3 linked regions of the Drosophila melanogaster genome follow. The protein of the gene in region 2 interacts with the protein of the main gene of each other region in a pairwise test. Each region holds a gene or a part of one and is shown on either strand. Other genes may lie near its edges.

Region 1 (8,011 bases), on a different chromosome or scaffold from region 2:
CGATGGAAGGAAAGGAAAACCAATGGGGGGCAACTACGGCAAAATTGATTACGTTTAATGCGAAAATTATAAATATGAATTAAATTAATCAAATTTAATAATAATTTCAATTATATTTAAGTTAATGAGTAGTACGTCAGTAACATAGTTTAGCTTTAAGTCAGAACCAAAAAAATTAATCATTTAGATAGGATTGGATTAAACTCAATGTGTGTATGGATTTAATCTGATCGGCAGCAGCTCGCACTCCTCCTGCTCCTCCTGCGCCTATTGCTCCTCAACCGGCTTGGGACCATGGTGACTGGATAGCTGGACAACTGGACAACTGGGCTGGCCTTCACTTGTGCGCAATGGGAATCAGTGTCTCGCCGGCGGTGAGTGCTGGCAGGGGGGCGTCCACGGTCAGGACTCCGTCCTTGCTGAGGGACGAGCGGATGGACTCGGGATTGACGCCCTTGGGCAGCAGGAACTCCCGATTGTACTCCCTGTACACGCTCTTTGTGTCCGACTTCTCCTCGTGCTTGGCGTGCACCTAGTCGAAAGGAATCAGATATCCATGTTAGATAAACTCTGCAAAACATAACCATCCTGAGCAGAGACTTACCAATAGCTTCTGGTCGACGGTTTTCACAACAATTTCCTCGGGCGCATACTGGCTGACATCGAAACGCAGCTTCAGCACTTTGTTATCGCCCTCATCCTGCAAAGGGGGATATATAAGTGTTATCCTTTGGCAACCAAGAGTAGATTCCTTGCATTGCTTACCTGGATCAAGGGTGAGCTAATGTCGGAGACGTAGTTCTGTTGCTTTGGGATTCGGGATGGCAGCGCCGAGTTTGTCGTTGAGCTGCAAATAAGTTGAGACGAACATATTGTACATGAGTATTGCAGTTGAGTGTTGAAGCGAAACTTAAGAACAAGTAGACTCGAAATAAAACCAAAGGTGTTAGGGTTGCGTAGGTGAGGTAGGAACCTGGTGGAGGAGTTTGTGGTTGTTGTAGTAGTGGTTCTGGTGGTCCTAGTGCTGCGAAAGGTATTTTGCAGTGTGCGCGTAAAGGCCTCCATGCTGATGCTTCTCCGGGATGAAACTGATCCGGACGTAACGAACCCAACTTAAATGAAGCCGCGATGCTCGACGCCTGTCTAATAATAGATCTGGCTTCCGCTTGAAAGCGATGTACGTATGTATGTATGTACATGTGTACGGATCTGGGGGCAGCAGCTGTCACCCTCGAAACATAAATCTCCCCATATGTCTGTAATAATTTCTATTTTAAGGAACTACCCATAAGGGAATTGAGAATTAAGGCTTCATGTATCTAGACTACAAATAAAACTATTCCTTGCTTCCTTGAAATTGTATGCATACATATGTATCTATGTATGTACATATGTATGTATGGATCGCATCAAAACGGTTTTCTATTATGAAAAACTGCCTATACTTACAACTTTTATAATTTTATCTTTTAGTTTTAAACGAACTGTATGCATTTCTAGTTATGTATTTGCGTCTATACCGGGCTCAAAATTGTTTATAAATAAATGTTATAGTGTATATTTGGCGATTAACATGCGATGCATCTGGTAACGAGTTTCTAGTTTAGTCTGTGTGGATTGCAATAACATTAAACCAATACATTAGTTACCAAACAATAAGGGGTTGAGTGAATGAAAAAAACATTGAGGATAAACAGAAAATAAAAGTTTAGGTTGTAAACTTTCTACGTTATTGTACCTGGTAGTTGTTGTTTTTTTAGTAGAGCTTTTGTTTTAAGAGAGAGGAGAGGAGATTATTATTATGTGGAAATTATTGCGGTTGTTTAATATTTCCAAGCGGCAAGAAAGAGAAAAATAGATAGAAATTGTTTATAATGAGTTAGACAAAAAGATAACTACACATTATCGTACAAGGGTGAGCAATTTTTTAACTATTTTATAAAGGTACAGCCTTGACTCGATATTAAAGTTCTGGAATTTTTAACAATGATCAATGAAAATTTCAAGCCATTCATATGTTTTCTTGTAATTAATATTTAATCATTTTTGGTACATGTTTCTTATGCATATGTACATATATTAATGATAACTCCTTTGTTTTCCGCACTTCCAGTCCCCAATTTCCTTTAGAATGCAAGTTTATCTATTAAGATCCAAGTGTTTCAAGCATAGCATCTAAAAAAAAAGAATATGTATATTACCTACAATAGAGGAAAGTATGCATAAAATATTTACATATTTACCCAGGAAATAATTCATTGGTCCATAATTGTTCACTTTGTATTACATTTTGTCGCACTGCTTTTTCACAATAATTTTTATTTTTAGTTCAAATTAGTAAATCTACACTTATTAAAATTTTGTGATTTCATTTTAAATAATATTGTATTCTTCACTTCACTCTCACATCAATTGATAGGTAAGTCGTTTTTTTTTAAATATTTTTTATGGTTCACCTTAATTTGCATTCTTAGCTTACGGGATTTGATTGACCGTTAAGCCGCTGTGCGTGTCGGCGATGAAGCCAAAATGTATGTGTGTATCTGTGTGTGTGTGCATGCGAGCGAGAGTCGTTGATAAGCGGCCATCAATTGGCACTCCGCAAATTCTGAGCAGAGGCAGAGAAAGCTTATCAATCGGAGCCGAAACGTGAACGTGCGTGGGCTTATTGGCGACCTTGCAATGTGCTTTGCGAGGTTGATCGCCCCTCGAAGAGAGAAATCAATAGCGCGCTAATGATAAGTACCAATAACCGTTAGCCGCCTGGCCAAAGTTTCTTTGGACAGCATGAAGAGGCACCTGCCCTCCCACTCTGGCAGCCGCTCTCACTCCCACCCTCTCCGGCCAGCCCACGTTTTTACATGTGTGTGAGTTGTGTGTGTGTGGTGCGACTACAATATCTCGCTGGCATCTGATGACAATGATGTCATGCATATTTTTTCGTTATTGAAAAGCCAAACGAAAGGAAACCAAAGAAGAACGAAAATAAACACGGGCGCGAGAGGCGGCCAAAAAACCAGAACAAGCGCAAACAAAATGGCTCTCTTTAGTTGTTTGCGGTGTACGCGTGTGTGCGTGTGTGTGTGAACAAATGTCGAATTAAAATATCGATTATCGACGACGATCGGCGTTTTGTCATCGATTGAAATCGAATTGAATAGCATCGAGTCGAAGCGCAGCGCAATAGCTAAAAATTGACATGATATCATCGCAGTTCGCTGCTCATTTGAATTATCAGCATCCAGCCAACAATATTGGCAACTAAATCGCCGCAGCGTGTGCTCATCGCAACTGAAAACTGTCCGTGTGTGCGAAAGCTTTTCGCACAGATCTATTTGCTGGTTAAATATGTGCATATGTATGTATGTATGTACGATCCTAGCGCACTTATTTGTTTAAACTGTGCGCACACACAATGAGTCTATAAATTAGGCAAACCGTTGGCATTGCCTATGTTTGGTAGCCATCCCATCCCATCCGATCCGATCTGGCCAATACAATTTCCATGCATTTGCATGAGATAATCGCACCAATCTATTTTACTGGGAACCGCATCCAAATCCATCTGAATCCGCACATTGTTCATATCTGAAGGCGCCAGCATTGATGTGCGGTCTTTGCTTATGGCCAAGTTGGTTAAATGAGGCCCTGCACTACACACAATCTATCGTTAGTATGTGACAGTACGTACATACATACACATATGTATGTATATACATACATATGTTCAAGAAAGTTTTATTTAAAATGTGCAAATGGCCTGAACAGCTTTTGGCAGCTACGCAGGAATTGCATGTTTGTAAACATGTTTTTCTTATGCCATAATAATAAAATATACATTGTTGGGAATGTATCCAGTTAAAAGCATAAACTATTGCTTCAAGTGGCAACTTCGGTAGGGCATAGATACACCTACCTGTATGGATTTATTGCCCTGTATATGGGGCGTGCGTTTATTCCGTGCTGAGTCATTCAGATATCACGCAGCGCTTCAATTGACAACACGCCACAGCCACAGCCAAGCCGCTTAGGTCAAAGGTTGCGGACAGTGGGCAGTTATGGGCGAATGATTGAATTATTTGGCAAGTATATATCCAATACTACTACTAAGCTACTAAACTACGTGGCCAATCTGTGGCGATTATTAGGCTAATCGCCCGAAGCAAGCCCTGGCGCACAACTTATGCCGCCACTGTGAGTTTCCCTTCATTTCCAATTAAATTTGCAGCCAGGAGGGCACAATACCAATTTGGGTTAATTTCCTTTCACTGCCAACTTTGACGTTGAATGGGCAAAGTTGTGGAGAGGAGCGCTACCAAGTTCTGAAACAGACGGAAGTCTGGTGGGGGGGAGGGGGGTGGAGTCGTAACATTTCTGTTGTGGCCATGCAAATGCAGTGGCGACCATGGCGAAGGCAACAACAAATAGAGTCCATCGGTTCGATTGCGTCATACGGCGAGGTCGTCCCAATAGCAACCAAAACTGGCGCCCACGCAACGCAACTCCAATGGAAAGGCTAACGAGACGCGCAACCGCGACGGCGTCGGCGACATAGTATTTGCCATTCGCCTTTGGGGCATTGTTTGTTTATTAATCGCTGATTTGGGCAATAAACCTATGTTCATTGAAAATGCCACTCGTAACATTCAACTGGAATTTCTCTCTCTCCCTCTCTCTGATTCGTATGAATATGCGAGGGTGTTAAAATACCGCCGAATCACTTAATTGACTTGCAAATGGAAATAGATTGCTAGGTAAACGCGTTTGTCACTTATGTATGCTTTAAAAACAAGTAACTACAAATGGAAATAGTTAGAGATTTAATGAACATTATTCATGTGTGCCACCGATCGTTTCAATGCTTTGCGTTTTCAAATATTTAATTTTGCTCGCAGAGACCAGATTTTAATATCTTATCTCATTATCAACAATTACATTTTTCTGCTCAGCTAGAAACCCACACACACACACACATATAACGGAATATCTTGGCACAGGTGATTCTCAAAGTTCGAAAAATTCCGTTATGCCCTACATAACGGTTGCATAAACCGTATGGGACTCGAGATCGAGCGAAAGGGGAGGGCACAAGACGCTGGCTAGCCATGTGCCGGGGCGGGGGAGGGGGATTTACTAGCGGGTGGCGGGCAGCAGATACACATGTGTTTCTTGGCCGGAGACAGCGGCGGAGAATTTAGAACTGGTGACTCATCCTCCCCCAGAGCGACGGCAAAGAAATACACATAGTGTATCTGGGGCGAGAATTGAAGCGGGCCGCTCGCCTCCTATGAGGCCCACTGTTTAGTACATACATATGTATGTATGCACGTATGTACATATGTACATACGTAGGAGAATCTGTGGGTGAAGAGCTCCAGACCAGTGGGCGATGTGGCAAGATGTGCGCCTATATTTAGAGGAGCCAACAACGAGGCGATGAGTCGAGCGATTCGGGATTGGGTTCCATCGCAGTACACCCGGTAGAATCAGGCTATGTGGAATTATCCCAGTGTTGGGATCCCACTTGTATCACTATTACGCTTACCTGGTGGACTCGAAGAAGTTCGCCTCGCGGTTCATCAGCTCGTGACGGAACTTGGCCATCTCCTCCTCCATTTTGCGCATCTCGGAGTCGAAGCGCTCGCGGATGTTGCTGAACTCCGTGTCGATGACGCTGAAGTCGCCCAGCTTGATGGGGATATTCCTCTTGTTAGCCTCGGCCATTGTTGTGCTGTTTGTGGTGGTTTATTTGGTGGTTGCTTCGCTAGATGGAATCTCCAATCTCTTCGCTGTACACTGTATACCGTATATACTGTATATACTGTATACCGTTCTATTATTCTCTGTTCTGTTCTGTTCTGCTCAACGCGCTTTCGAGCTTGTTCACTTGCTAATCGACGGAGCAACCAAAAAAAAAGGGAACTCGATGGGTTTTCTATATGTATTCGAAACTCAAGACGTTCAAGTGTGTGATTTCGGTTGGACGTATCGCACAGATAGCCGCGTTTCAATTTCTGAACTGTTTTGCATTCACAGTGTGTCTTTGCTTTTATAGCTTTCGTACCGATTGTACTTCGATTGCCGCTGCGCAGCAGTGTGGCGATATCGATAGACCGATGAAGCCGCATTTAGTCATCGATTTGCGGATTTGATTATGTTTCTATTGCCATTGGATCAAAAAGAACTTCTATCCGCAAAGGGAATTGTTTAAGCGTACTTTAACCACTAATCGTTAGCGGACCACCCAAAACACTATATTCGCTGTATTGATTTTGTATTTTATGGAAATAATGACGCACGGGGAACACATTTAGAAGTGAAACAATAGTTGTAAGACAAATTTGGTTTATACAAAATGACCGAAAACAAGGAAGCCATGATTTATTTTCCGTTAATAAGCTAGTAATTCATAAATGCAATGAAATAACATAACACATTTCAAAGCTCCTAAAAAACTTTCTAGGAACAAGTGTTCAATTAGCAACAATTAATTAGTTGATGATCAACTTGATCTTGATAAGTATGCTTAAAACTTCTCGCGTGGGAGCCATTCAGTCATGGAAGTGAGTTCCTCGAACTGTGATTCCAATTGCATCTGGTTCAGCATTTGTGTGCTGTGAGTGCGAGTGGAAAGTGTGAGTATGAGTCGTGTTGAGTTAACCGGTTAACCGATCAACGCTTCCTACCGTTTTGGGAAATGATCTTCGGTATAGAGAGAAAGAGAGAGAGAGAGAGAGAGAGTTGCACATTGGTGGAAAGTGCATTTTCCGTCCTGCGGTGGGTTGGCATTATCCATCGTCCTAAAATAGAACATCTATGGCGTGATGGCCCACGATATCTTGTCCATATTCGCGGGGTTACTTACACCCAGAGCTCATCATCATTAAGACCTTAAATCAAAAAGCCAATTCCGCCCATTGTGCGAATCGATAAATCCCAATATTAGACCGGGTGGGTGGAGAACGTTGGCGGCCCAAATACACGCAGAAAAATATATGTCATATATACATATGTAAATTTAAATATCTCTATGCTGAGCTAAGATTGGAAATTGTACTGTTGTAAGCTTGTTAGCTATAATAGGATATGTTTCCTAATCTAACAGAGAGGCATTATAGTATCTTAGTATCTGTGTCGTTTTCTGCCAGTGTGCTTGGCCATATCCATGGTACTACCCACTCCGCCGCATCGGTTTGTTTGTAAACAAATGCGAAATGACTCAGCCGCGTGACATTGGCGGTCGGAGTCGAGAATCGGGAATCGAGCCAAGTCGAGTCCATTCGATTCGATTCAATTCCTTTTAGGGAGCGTCGGCCAGGGGAATTAAAATTTAAATTGAAATTAATGAGAGCCGGATTGCAAAGTTGCAACTGCAGAAAAAATGTGCGATATATATTCATAAGTTTTATGAACCATATGCATATTTAGCTAGACAAACTAGATTTTTCTTCAACTTAACAATTGCATCTCTCATCCATAAGAAAACTCATTAGCTGGAAATTTGATATCTTTTAAAGCTGTTATTGCCTGCACATAACTTACATTCTTTTGTTTTTTTTTTTTAAGTGCAAGTGCGACATATTAAAATGCAATATTTTGAATCCGTGACCGTTTTACTGCTCGAAATTCCATCGGGGACAACGGCAGTTGTGCCATCAAAATAATTATAGACTTAATCACGAATTTCGAAAATAAAACGACAATCATCGTGGCTTAACGGCTGAGGTGTTTTCATTGTACATCCATACATACATGTGTACATATGTACATATGTATTTTTCACAGCGCCCACATGCTCGCAATGGCTAATGGCTAATGCCCCCTGTCCAAACAACAAACTCATTTTCATCAATAATCTCGACCTTGAAGTCCCCAGTGTCCCCACAAAGCATACATATCGGTATTCAAACAAAATTAATTTTTGAAAAGAGGATTCCAAGTTTGCACATTCGTGCACGTTTCAGTCTTAATTCAATTGTATTTTGTGCCTTTTCAAATCATTCAAATCAAT
Region 2 (3,217 bases):
AACATTTGAACTAAAGGAAGTTCAATTAAAGCTTACGATTTGGATACAGATTCATTTTATTCAGACCTCCATATCTACGGAAGAAACTGTGACATGTGTTGGAGGATTCAACTATATTTGTCGCTTCCATGATCTTTGACTCCACTTCGTGTCTTTCTGGCTGGCGCTGGATATTGTGGAACCGCACACAGACCATCTCGTCGTGTAACTCAATTCGTAAATAATTAACGATCACGAGATTACAAATGTCAAACAGAATGTCATGTTGGGAATGCCATCGTGCCCGTCGAGGGGGAACCGGAGCTGCTCCTTTCGCCGCCACATATCTTAAAAGACCGAGTGAACAAAAACCACCGACTTGGCTCCCTAGCCACCAGACTCGATCCTCAATGCGTGTGGGTCTGTGGCGAGTGCCAGCCGATCTGTTGTGACTTATGTCAAGACAATTGCGTTACAATATTTTGAAGATTCAAAGTGCCTGGGAATGAGAACCGCACAGATTTATGGCTAAAACGGAATGAACGTCTGTTTTATTTGAGCTGGGTTATTAGCCCATGGGCAACATTATCGTATACCAAATCCCATTTAATAGCTAGTGTTAGAGAGGTGTTATAAGGTGTGGGTAAGGATAAGATAATCTAACCACCAGGGGCAGCTGTGGGTGGGGCAGCTGTAGGTGGGGCAGCTGTGGGTAGGGCAGTTACTACAGGTTGTGGCGATGTCGCAGGTGCCGACGGAGCAGGCGTTTCGGGTGCAACTGTGGCTGGAACTGCAGGAGTCGAGCCAGGAGGAGTGGCAGGCGCACCTGGTGAACTCCCTGGAGCTGCTCCACCTGCCTGCGGAGCTACAGTGCTTCCATTCGCTGTGGCGTTTGGAGCAGCTTGAACAACTACCGTGCAGTTACGACAAATCACTGAGAATAACAAATCAAAAGGTCACTGAGTTCAAGACGGTCTCTCAACTTACAAACGTTCTCATCGCCGGCATCATCACTATCACTATCATTGTCATAGAGTATATCCTCGAGGATAGTCCACCAGTCGGTATCGCGTTTCTAAAGCAAAAAGTTGAAATTATTATATGTTTAATAAGTACAACCGACTGACCGTCTTGACAGAGGTTTCCTCCAATGACCTAGCCTCAATGCTCAGAAAACTAAACATAAGGCAAAGGCCCACTGCGAATAATATATCCCTTCTGGCCGACATCGCGACTTCAACTGACCAAAGTTGCTCAGAAAACCTACTTATATAGAACCTAAAGCCAATATTTTGTAATATTTAGTGGCTGTTAGTGCTGAAAAGTGGACTATTTCGAATTTATGGTGGGTATTCAGGAGCTTAGACGCGTACAAATGCTTGAAAACTTTATTATAGGTAAACTTTGTAATCACGTCAGAAAATTCAAAATCGGCTGAATATTATTAGAGTATCTATAATAATGATAATAAGAATATATGAGTTTTCAACTTATTTAACTTGGCATAATCCGCATTCCAAACCTTTTCCTAAGCAGCTACTAACAGTATTCCCTAGTCGATCTCTAGTTATATGCCATCTATTACAACCACCTTTAATGAGGGGAGATTCCGTCGATTTCGAACAGTTTTCCATATTTATGCAGCTGCACGTTCGCTTTGTCTGGGACTCCGAAACGAGCCCGAGTGTGGGCAAGTACTCTAGCTATGATCGAACTGCAATTGACAAGTGCGCAAATCCATAACCATAAACTATGTACACGAAATTCGACACTGTTGGGGATCATTAGCCGGGGATCGTTGGAAGTGGGGGAGTGGAGAAGTCGGGGGATTGGGGGATCGGGGAATAATGTCGGGCAACAAGTGGGATGGTAATGCGATATCAAAGCAGCGGGAAAACGAGCTTGTAAGTCGCGAATAGCCTCCTGAATGGAGCAGCATCGAGGTCGATATACTCCGTCTCTCGGTTCATTATCGCTCCTTTATCCGGTTCCTTCCTGATTTGTTGCGATTGCCGCCACGAGTAACCCGGGAGCTCTATTGCGGTTTTTATGGCGCTGCACTCTCCAGTACGTGTTGCACTTGGAGTTGCTGTTGTGGAACACGATTCGAAATTAGAAGACGGCGCAGATGTGCAGCAGTGCCTCCAACTGCCCATAATGGTAATGGACCGGACGGCAGTTTCAGACGGGCAGCGAGCTCCAGCGGCAGGTGCCAAGAGGAGGAGGAGGAGGAGGAGACTCCTCCAGTCTCCAGATAAGAGGGCTACCCATTTGACACCATATAATGGCAAGCTATTATAGTAAAGTTTCAGTTGTGCTTTGTTTGCCAGAAAAGTTATGATAACGAAAGTACAAACTGATTTTCCAGATATCTAATAGATTGCCATAATGTTTGCAACACATTTAAATTTTATATAATCATTCTATATATTTTCATTTATTGATTGTGCACAAGTGAAACTACTCTCTTAAATTGAGTTGATCAAATTTGTGGCACTAAACCGAATTACTCCCTTCTCAATTTCTCGGCCAAGTCCATCTCATTTACAATGGTCACCACTGAGAAAGCGAACTTGGCCATCTGAAAGATTTTGTTTACAATAAAATGTAATGGTTTTGTATGATATTATCTTACCTTTATATTGGTGTTTAGACATATGGGGAAAATTCCGCCCGCAGTGAACAAAATCGACTGCTGAACATTGTGAATGAAGTACAACATCGTGGTTCTGTATCGTCGCTCAGCTCCAATCCACTTGGAATGGAACAGTGTGTTGGTCAGGGATTCGCAATCGCTGCTCAGCTGCTCACAGACATAGCAAAATGGAAAGGTCTGGGATAGAATGGCTATGGTGTAGACCCCGGAGACAACACGCTCCATTACGGTGTTATAGAACTGCATGGACACCGCTGCCAGACCCAAAAGTAAGCCAACGGATAGTAGTTGGATGAACATCGTGGCGGATATCATGGGACGCAGAGTGTTTCCATATCTAATGAGGAAAATTGAGTGGATTATGGCATTCTGCAAAGAGTATTCCATTCTTCCTCACTCGACAATTAGCTTGTGATCCTTTACACACTCCACCAGCTCGGCATAATGTTGATCGTCGCCTTTTTCCACATCAGTACGCAGCGTCTTGATTCGCTCACTCAAGAGCTCCATGTGGATCCGCAGAACGACCACATATATGATGGGATATACGTCCAAAATGAGATTGGCCAGAATAATGCCAGC
Region 3 (7,931 bases), on a different chromosome or scaffold from region 2:
ATGAAGTTCATCGCAGCTGGATTAGCTCTTCTGGTCTGCTCCATCCAGTTGGGTGAAGGAGCACCTGGTCACCTGCTAGACTCCAGTTGTGGCACGACAAAACCAGAATTTATCCCAATGATCACCGGGGGCGCAGACGCAGGCCTATTCTCAAATCCATGGATGGTGAAGGTGCTAGGCGAGAAACTATGTGGTGGCTCGCTAATCACCAGTCGTAAGTATTCAAATGTGGCCCACGAATGAGTTCTTTGTCCAGTCACCTGCTGCTAATACTTTCAGGCTTCGTTCTCACGGCCGCCCATTGCATCGTTAGTACACACATGTAAGTGAGGCAGCACTGTCTTTCGGCGAACACTTACGAATTCCCATTTCCACAGGAGAGTACGCTTGGGCGAGTATAAAACCCGCTTTCCTGGCAAGGATTGCTCGCGCTGCGTGCCCAAGTCATATAAACTCAGGAGAATACGCTTGGGCGAGTATGACACCCGCTTTCCTGGCAAGGATTGCTGCGTGCCCAAGTCATATGAACTCGCTGTGGATAGAAAGATTTTGCATGCGGATTATAACCTAAACTTGGACAACGACATCGGCCTGTTGCGCATGAAGAGCTTCGTCCAGTACTCAGGTAATGAGGTGGATCCAGCAGCCAGGGCTCCCTAAGCAGTGGACATATCTTTCAGACTACGTCCGGCCGATCTGTCTCCTGGTCGAGGGACACATGGCGGAAAGTCCCATCTTCAACATCACCGGCTGGGGTGTCACCAACGATGGCACGCCCAGCCGGAGGCTCCAGAGGGCCACTGTGTACAACACCGACCTCCACTTCTGCCGAAGCAAGTTCACCAAGCAGGTGGATGAGTCGCAGATTTGTGCTGCTGGCACAAATAGCGATGCATGCCACGGCGACTCGGGAGGCCCGCTGAGCGCACAGGTTCCTTTTGCCGGCAGCTGGCTGACCTTCCAGTACGGACTGGTCAGCTACGGGTCGGCGGCATGCCATTCCTTCTCCGTTTACACCAACGTTACGCACCACAGGGACTGGATTGTGAACGCCATCGAAGACTTCAGCAGAGCTTTCCAGCTTAGACTCTAGCTACTCATAATAACATTTCGTTGGCTTTTCTAAGAAAATATTATCAATCCAAAATATTATCTCGAGTGGTTTAATGGCTCCCCTGACTTCTGTCGTAGACGCCATTCGGGTCAATAATATCTGCATTAGTATTTATGTACATAAGCGAAGCTTATCTTCAGCAAATTTTAACGCTATACGCAGCGAAGCCTCGCTTTGACTGATTCCCCAGAATTCTGGGGAAAAACCGAACCCTTGGAGAAGGTTCACTTCTACACCCTCACTGGCTGGGGTCACACCGCAGACTATAAGCCCAGCCGCATTCTCCAGGAGACCACTTTGCTTGCGCTCGAACAATCGTGTTGCAACAGCAACTTCAACATCGAAGTCGACCAGTCCCAAATCTGCACCACTGGCGTGGACAGCGATGCCTGCGGTGGGGATTCCGGGGGCCCGCTGAGCGCGAAGCTGCTCTTCGGGTTAAAGAAGCGGGCTTTCCTGCTCGGACTCGTCAGCTACGGGGATGCATCCTGTAGGATCTTCGAAGTGGCCACGAATGTGACGCACTACGTCGACTGGATTAAGGCAACAATCGACGAGAACTCAAGTTAAAGCGTTAAAGCGTCAAGTTAGAGTCCAAGTCGATTGAGAATTTAAATTTGTTGCTAGTAAGAAATCTGCAATTGAAATATTAGTTTACCATGATTAAGTAAACAACAGAAGAAGCTTAGTTTTATTTGCAGTATGCAAAGGGTATAAAGCGTTATCGATTAAAATCGCAAGCTCACATATTCGATAGACCACGCCGACTGTGCTCGCTCTGCCGCGAAGGTATTATTTAAGGGTGCGCCTACGGTCACTCTGCAGAAAACTTTTGTCGTCGCAAAAATGTAAGTAATGTTCAAGCGCGCCGCACTTTTCCGGCATTAAATCTAGTATGTGCATTGGGTATTCGTGTATATATTTTATACAAACAACAAACAAAGAACTGGCTAAAAATAGCGGCTCTTTTATTGCGACTTGGTTTTCGAAAAAGTTCAATGCACTCCGTTTTGTTAAGGAGACGGCTTTACAGTTACTCTTCGTAATGGAGTTTTCTCAATAAATTGTATTTTCTGCGCTTCTCTTGCAGCTAAACTACTCAAGAATCAAACAGAATGTTCGTTGTACGTCGTAGCGCATCTCGTCTGTACCCCGCTGGAGTCCAGTGAGTTTCTACCCACATTTAACCCCCGTTCATAACTACCTGCTAATTGGCTTACAAGACTTAACAGAGCACTCATATCTCATTCGCCATATTCAAAGTGTTATGTATGCCCCCAACTTACACTTTCCTCAATGTTCGATAAGATAAACAATTCCGATCCCATCGAAATCGCTTTCACCCTGCGCGCATGTGTGTGTGTGCAGTCTATGCTGACTTCACTCCACTGTTGCGTAACCGCACAAAACCAGAAGATTCTAATGGTTCCCACCGCCATTTTCCGCTCCACAGGCTGGCCAAGATGAGCGGCAGCCAGGTGGGCGACCTAGGCAGTGGCGCCGGCAAGGGAGGCGGCGGCGGTGGCTCTATCCGCGAGGCCGGCGGAGCCTTCGGCAAGCTTGAGGCTGCCCGCGAGGAGGAGTACTTCTACAAGAAGGTGAGTGACCCAGAAAACAACTTATTTCATCATTAGCTTTATTGAGCAGCAGCGGGAAGCGACTCAGTTGCAAGGCCTGCCGCTGAGCAGCTCCTGAACACCGCACTTCTGTATGCGAAAGTTTATCTCCTTGTAGTCCAGACCCGCTCCGAAGGCTTTCTGCAGCCGATTCGACAGCACCCACAGTTCCTCCTTGCCCTCGTGGTTGCGCACTATCTTGAGTCCACTGGCGAACTGCAGTCGCTGCTCATCCTCCACCAGCATGACCAGATTCTGATGGCTGTAGCCGGTGCGAATGTTCCAGGCCAAAAGGCTGGCCGGCTGGACCAGGCCGCAGATCAGAAAGCCGGACTCGCTCATGGCCGCCGCAACGCATTGACTTCCCCGCTTGCCCAGCAACTGGAACTGATCCAAGGCAGCGCTCACATCGTTCAGCCGCCAGTTGCTGCCGTTGTTGACCACATCCAACGGAATGGCCATTTGCCACTCGCTGGACAGAGAGTGGAAATACATCATCCGCCGGCCACCCAAGCCGTGGGGCGTTAGAGTGGTAGACACCGTGCCGTCCCACAGCTGGAAGCTCTCGCCTGCTATCGTGAATGTGCCGAAGTCTGGATGAGGATACGTAAACTTGTTCTCAATCCGCCACGACTGCTGGGCTGCCACGTCATACACCACAATGCCGTCTCCAATGGAGTCCGCCATGTACACGAATCCCACATCGCAGTTGTGCGGATCCAGCTCCACGGTGGGCGTGACAAAGCGACTCACGCCCTCCTTGTACAATCGCTTGGGCATCTTGTACTGATGCGCGACTTTTCCGCTTTCCAAGTCAATAGCGTACAGCTGCGGCGGGCAGTGCTGAATGAAGTCGATCTCGCCGCTGTCCAGGATCCACATGCGCCCGCACTCGTCTATCTGTGTGCGGTACACCGAAGTCAATCCATTGCAGTCGGCTCCGTGGGATTTGTGCCACTCGTAGCTGGGATAAGCCTGCAGGAGAGTCCCGTTCGGTCGCATTTCGTTTGTGACGTAGGCCAGAGAGTATGGAACGCCCTTGGCAAAACGCGGAATGGTCACGAATATCGAGGGTGTGGCATCGCCATCTAAATGAGAGAGCAAATTAGGTAGGCTTTTGTGCTGAAATGGAGAACTCCTACGCTTGTAGTAGACGTCCACATCGATGGGGATCACGCTGCCCGGATCGTATAGTCCATCTCTCAGCGCGCGCTGTCTTTCCTGCGGCGATGGAAACTCCAGCTCCAGATTGTAGGCTCCAAAGACACTTTCCAAGGCCTGGGCGGATGCTGCCAGCCAGCACCAACAGCAGACACCGAAGACAATCCAACGCTCCATGCCGTAATCCTTTCACTTTCGCGACAACTGTTCCACTTAAACACCGAGCGGATACTGCACATGCGCGTGGAGCTGCGGGCCCATGTCTTTCTAATCCAGCCAGCCACTCAGCAGGCTAAGCGGGTCAGCTTTTGTAACTGGTTTAATTGCACACCCAAAACTCTGTGCACTGAAATTCTGGTCGAGCCATGGCAGTTTGTTTACTGTTCACTGGTGTCCACCTCGGAAAACAAGTTGCTGGTGCTGGTATTGGCTAATTATGCACGCCGCCACCCATTTGGACCGATTGCTCGGTTCGTCGCCCCATTAAGTGTGATCCATTATCCAGTCAGTACAATTTAGTTCCCAATCCAGTTCCAATCGATGCTGCTGATGCCCGAAACGGTTAACGTCACTTGATGGCGCTGAATCAGGTCTAATCTTAAGCCACTGCGGCTTCTACTGGCCAGTGGGATTCGTGCGTGACTAGACTGTTGCTTGGGAGTACAGACTTGGGGCGATAACAAGTGACCCTGAACTTTGCCACAAATTGTGTGGCGCAAGAAATTTGAAAATCAAAATAATACAGTAAAGCTTCGGACGCATGCATTCATAGGCCAAACATATGTAGAAGAAACTCCAATTCTTCCATTTCTCACAATAACTTTTATCAACTTTTATAGTCAACATTTCTTTGAAAGTTTGTAACCGAAAAGTTAGCTTTCTCAAATCAGGTTCATCGTTTTATGCGCATTTATATGGTTTGTTAGCAAAGTAAATTTAAATATTTCGCTGTCGTAAAATTTAAATTATTCAAGGGAATGAGTACCACAAGATGGTTAATATTTACACGTCATATATATTTCTTAGGCTTTGCGGAATCTTTACAATTTCAGATAGGCTGTTATTAGCACTTAGGCGGAATTCGCAACGATCCCCCAGTGAAGTGCACAACAAAACTAATATTTACATATATTAATTAAGTGGATTTGCTAAGTCACTAGCTAAACACCAGGCGATTGGTTAGATCCTCGTCGTTGGAGAAGAAGACGCCGCCCTGGACATCATCCAACTTGCGGCGCAGGATGCGGAAGTTGACCTCCTTCGAGTTCAGCGTACCTGCGGCGATTTTCTAAGGGAACAATCGTAACAATCAGTTTACGGGGCACACAAAAGCCTGCTGAACATCAAACCTGGTAGCGATTGGAGAGCATCCAGAGTTCCTCCTGCCCTTCGCGGTTCCGCAACACCTTCATGCCGCTGACGAACTGCAGGTCATCGGACTTGGCTGGCAGATTGCCAAAGTTTCGCGAATTGTACGGCGAGTTCACGTTCCACACAAAGAGCTTGACGGGATTGAAGGTGACGCAGTAGACGTTGTTCCTGCCATCGATGGCGGACGCGGCGCACTCGCTCCGCCGCCTGCCTAGCAGCCTGAACTCCTCCGGCAGAGCCTCCGGCCCGTTGGCCCAGTTCTGCTGCCGGTTCAAAGCACTCAGTGGCACGGAATACTCACTTGCACTGGCCAGCGGATGGAAGTAAAGATTGCGCTTGTCGTTGTTCAGTGCAAACATGCCGTCCATCAGGTAGAAGCTCTCGCCTGCTATGGTGTGCTTGCCGTAGTCCGGATCGGGATACATAAAGCGGTTCTCAGCCCGCCATGATGTCTGCGCCTGGTGGTCGTAGACCACCAAGCCATGATAGCTCACATCGGCCACATAGATCATGGTGCGACTGCAGGTTCCCCTAGGCGGAGGATCCTGGACGAGTACATTTGGCGTGATGAAGAGCGATCCACTCGGGATGTATGTGTCGTTCGGGAAGCGGAAGCGATGCAGCAAGCGATCGGTGGCCAGGGCGAACTGCAGCAACTGCGGCGGACACAGCTGGGTGGTTCCAATCACACCCGAATCGATCACCCACATCTGGTTGCACTCGGTGATCTGGAAGAGATTCAATGTAGAAAAAACTTAGCTGTCCGAACATTTTACACTTACAGCCACTCTGAATGCGGATGTTATGCGATCGCAGTCCTCGCCGTTGGCATTGTGCCAGGAGTAGTTGGGATACGGCTGCAGCAGCGGGCCATTCCTGCCCTGCGTCGCTGAAACGGTGGCCAAGGTGTAGGGAATGCCCGTCACGAAGCGCGGAATAGTGGTGAACAGCCTGATCTGGCCATTGGCCATGTACTGTGGCTGCACATCGATGGGAGTGCCGTTCTCGGGCACCAGATTACCCGCCGCCTGAGCGTTCTCCCGATCCTGCGCCGTGGGAAATCCGAACTCCAGCTGGCCCCACTGCGTCAGCGTTTCTACAGTGCGCACGGGACGCGGTCCATTGACACCGACGCCATAGCTCTGGGCTAGCGTCAGCGAAAAGGCGATCAGCAGTATCCGGAGGGGCATCATAACCATTCCGCAGCAGAGTCGGATGGTAAATGTTCTGTTCGAACTAAGGGCAGCTGCTTATCAAGCAAGTTGGTTCCTGAGGCGTTGATAAGTGGCAGAGAGGCAGGCAGGCTGGCTGGCGGAGATCGAAGAGTGTGGACCGCGGCCTGGCTTTGTCTACTTGTTGACGACCAATTAAGAGCAAGGGTCTGTTGATATTTGGCCAGATGCGGCCTAACAATGCGGAATAATTTAATACGGTGACCCCGATCTAACGACACTTTCTTCGACGTCTCACTTCGGTAGCCAACTATCAACTGAAAACAGGCTTTTTAGCTTGGTGGCTTGAAGACGAGCAGGCAGAACGGCAGACAATGATTCAGGTTCATTGGCGGCAGGTGGTTTTCCCCCGATCTTTTTCGCACTCTTTACAGACTTCCGTCGACTGTTTGTCGTGGTCATTCAGGCGATATCCGAACTTTTTGTCTGCCCGTGTGACGGGTTCGGTCTGAAAATTGTTAACCAAATATTGTCTCTTGTAGTAAAGCCTCTTATATGGCTGGCAGCTAATGATGACAGTCGATCAATATTGATGGCAAGCTTCAGGGGTGGGCGGGCTTAGCTAACCAGCAATTAGCTTTTTACGACTTGCTAGCACTAATTGTATTTCGCACCGGCTAATCGAGAGAATCCATCATTGTTCGTTTCGTTGCAGCAAAGGGAGCAGCTGGATCGCCTTAAGAACGACCAGATCCACCAGGCTGAGTTCCACCACCAGCAGATCAAGGAGCACGAGGAGGCCATCCAGCGCCACAAGGAGTTCCTCGAGAACCTGCACAAGTGAGCGGTGATCCATCCACCGGCAGAAGGCGACCGCACGGACGGATGAACTCGAGACATTTACTAAAATGCATTTCACTCTCTTTTGTATGTTCCCAAGTGCTCACTACCACTTACCAGTAACCCAAAAATTATATATGTATTTGAAAAGTGCGTAATAAACCATCCATATTTTGAATGCTTTAACTAGAAGCTCATCTTTAGCTCGTGCTGGAACAGGTTACTAAAGTTTATGGCCGCTTCGTTACAGAACCAAAGCAATAAAGTTCGTTGATGTGTTTCTTTATAAGTTATTTTTCAATTCCTCTTCGTTAATAACTAAGGCCTTATCGCCTGCCGTTATAATCGACTAAAAATCAATTAACTTAAAAAGAATAACAACTTGTAAAAAATAGAATTTATGAAAAGAGTGTATATTTCACGTACAAGAAAACACAGTTATACGAACTATTGCGCGGTTTTTATAAATAAAGAAGTGCAATTTAAACGTATGCTGCATTATCTTCGAATAAAAACAAACTGTAGGGTGCTTAACTAAGCGTTTTTGCCCACAACATGAGGATTCCTCAAACACGAGCGGCTACTTAAAATGCTAAATCATTGCATAATTAGCAAGTTTGACCAGCTTTCATTCAGTTTTAGCGTGTAAACAGTTCA

Evidence for each region.
Region 1: the proteins of CG7443 (region 2) and CG14207 interact in a two-hybrid assay, tested with the Drosophila melanogaster proteins (one large-scale study listed by BioGRID).
Region 3: the proteins of CG7443 (region 2) and CG13551 interact in a two-hybrid assay, tested with the Drosophila melanogaster proteins (one large-scale study listed by BioGRID).

What each region holds. Positions count from the first base shown.
Region 1 is NC_004354.4:19,603,217-19,611,227, reverse strand, and holds the start of CG14207 (uncharacterized protein), read right to left. Parts: upstream 6,030-8,011; 5' UTR 5,725-6,029; coding exon 5,546-5,724; intron 1,766-5,545; coding exon 1,739-1,765; intron 1,091-1,738; exon of another isoform or gene 1,066-1,090; coding exon of another isoform or gene 974-1,065; intron 848-973; coding exon 766-847; intron 701-765; coding exon 605-700; intron 533-604; coding exon 338-532; 3' UTR 1-337.
Region 2 is NT_033777.3:8,322,323-8,325,539, reverse strand, and holds CG7443 (uncharacterized protein), read right to left. Parts: upstream 1,225-3,217; 5' UTR 1,164-1,224; coding exon 1,107-1,163; intron 1,055-1,106; coding exon 967-1,054; intron 914-966; coding exon 639-913; 3' UTR 504-638; downstream 1-503. Other genes in the region: Or85a (odorant receptor 85a), read right to left, coding at 2,486-2,560, 2,615-2,972, 3,033-3,217.
Region 3 is NT_033778.4:23,377,396-23,385,326, reverse strand, and holds CG13551 (uncharacterized protein), read left to right. Parts: upstream 1-1,902; 5' UTR 1,903-2,007; intron 2,008-2,204; 5' UTR 2,205-2,229; coding exon 2,230-2,279; intron 2,280-2,567; coding exon 2,568-2,712; intron 2,713-2,735; exon of another isoform or gene 2,736-2,775; coding exon of another isoform or gene 2,776-3,818; intron 3,819-3,872; coding exon of another isoform or gene 3,873-4,068; exon of another isoform or gene 4,069-4,130; intron 4,131-4,888; exon of another isoform or gene 4,889-5,047; coding exon of another isoform or gene 5,048-5,179; intron 5,180-5,240; coding exon of another isoform or gene 5,241-5,990; intron 5,991-6,044; coding exon of another isoform or gene 6,045-6,461; exon of another isoform or gene 6,462-6,754; intron 6,755-7,149; coding exon 7,150-7,278; 3' UTR 7,279-7,461; downstream 7,462-7,931. Other genes in the region: CG30414 (uncharacterized protein), read left to right, coding at 1-214, 280-322, 378-625, 681-1,093; yellow-d2, read right to left, coding at 2,776-3,818, 3,873-4,068; yellow-d, read right to left, coding at 5,048-5,179, 5,241-5,990, 6,045-6,461.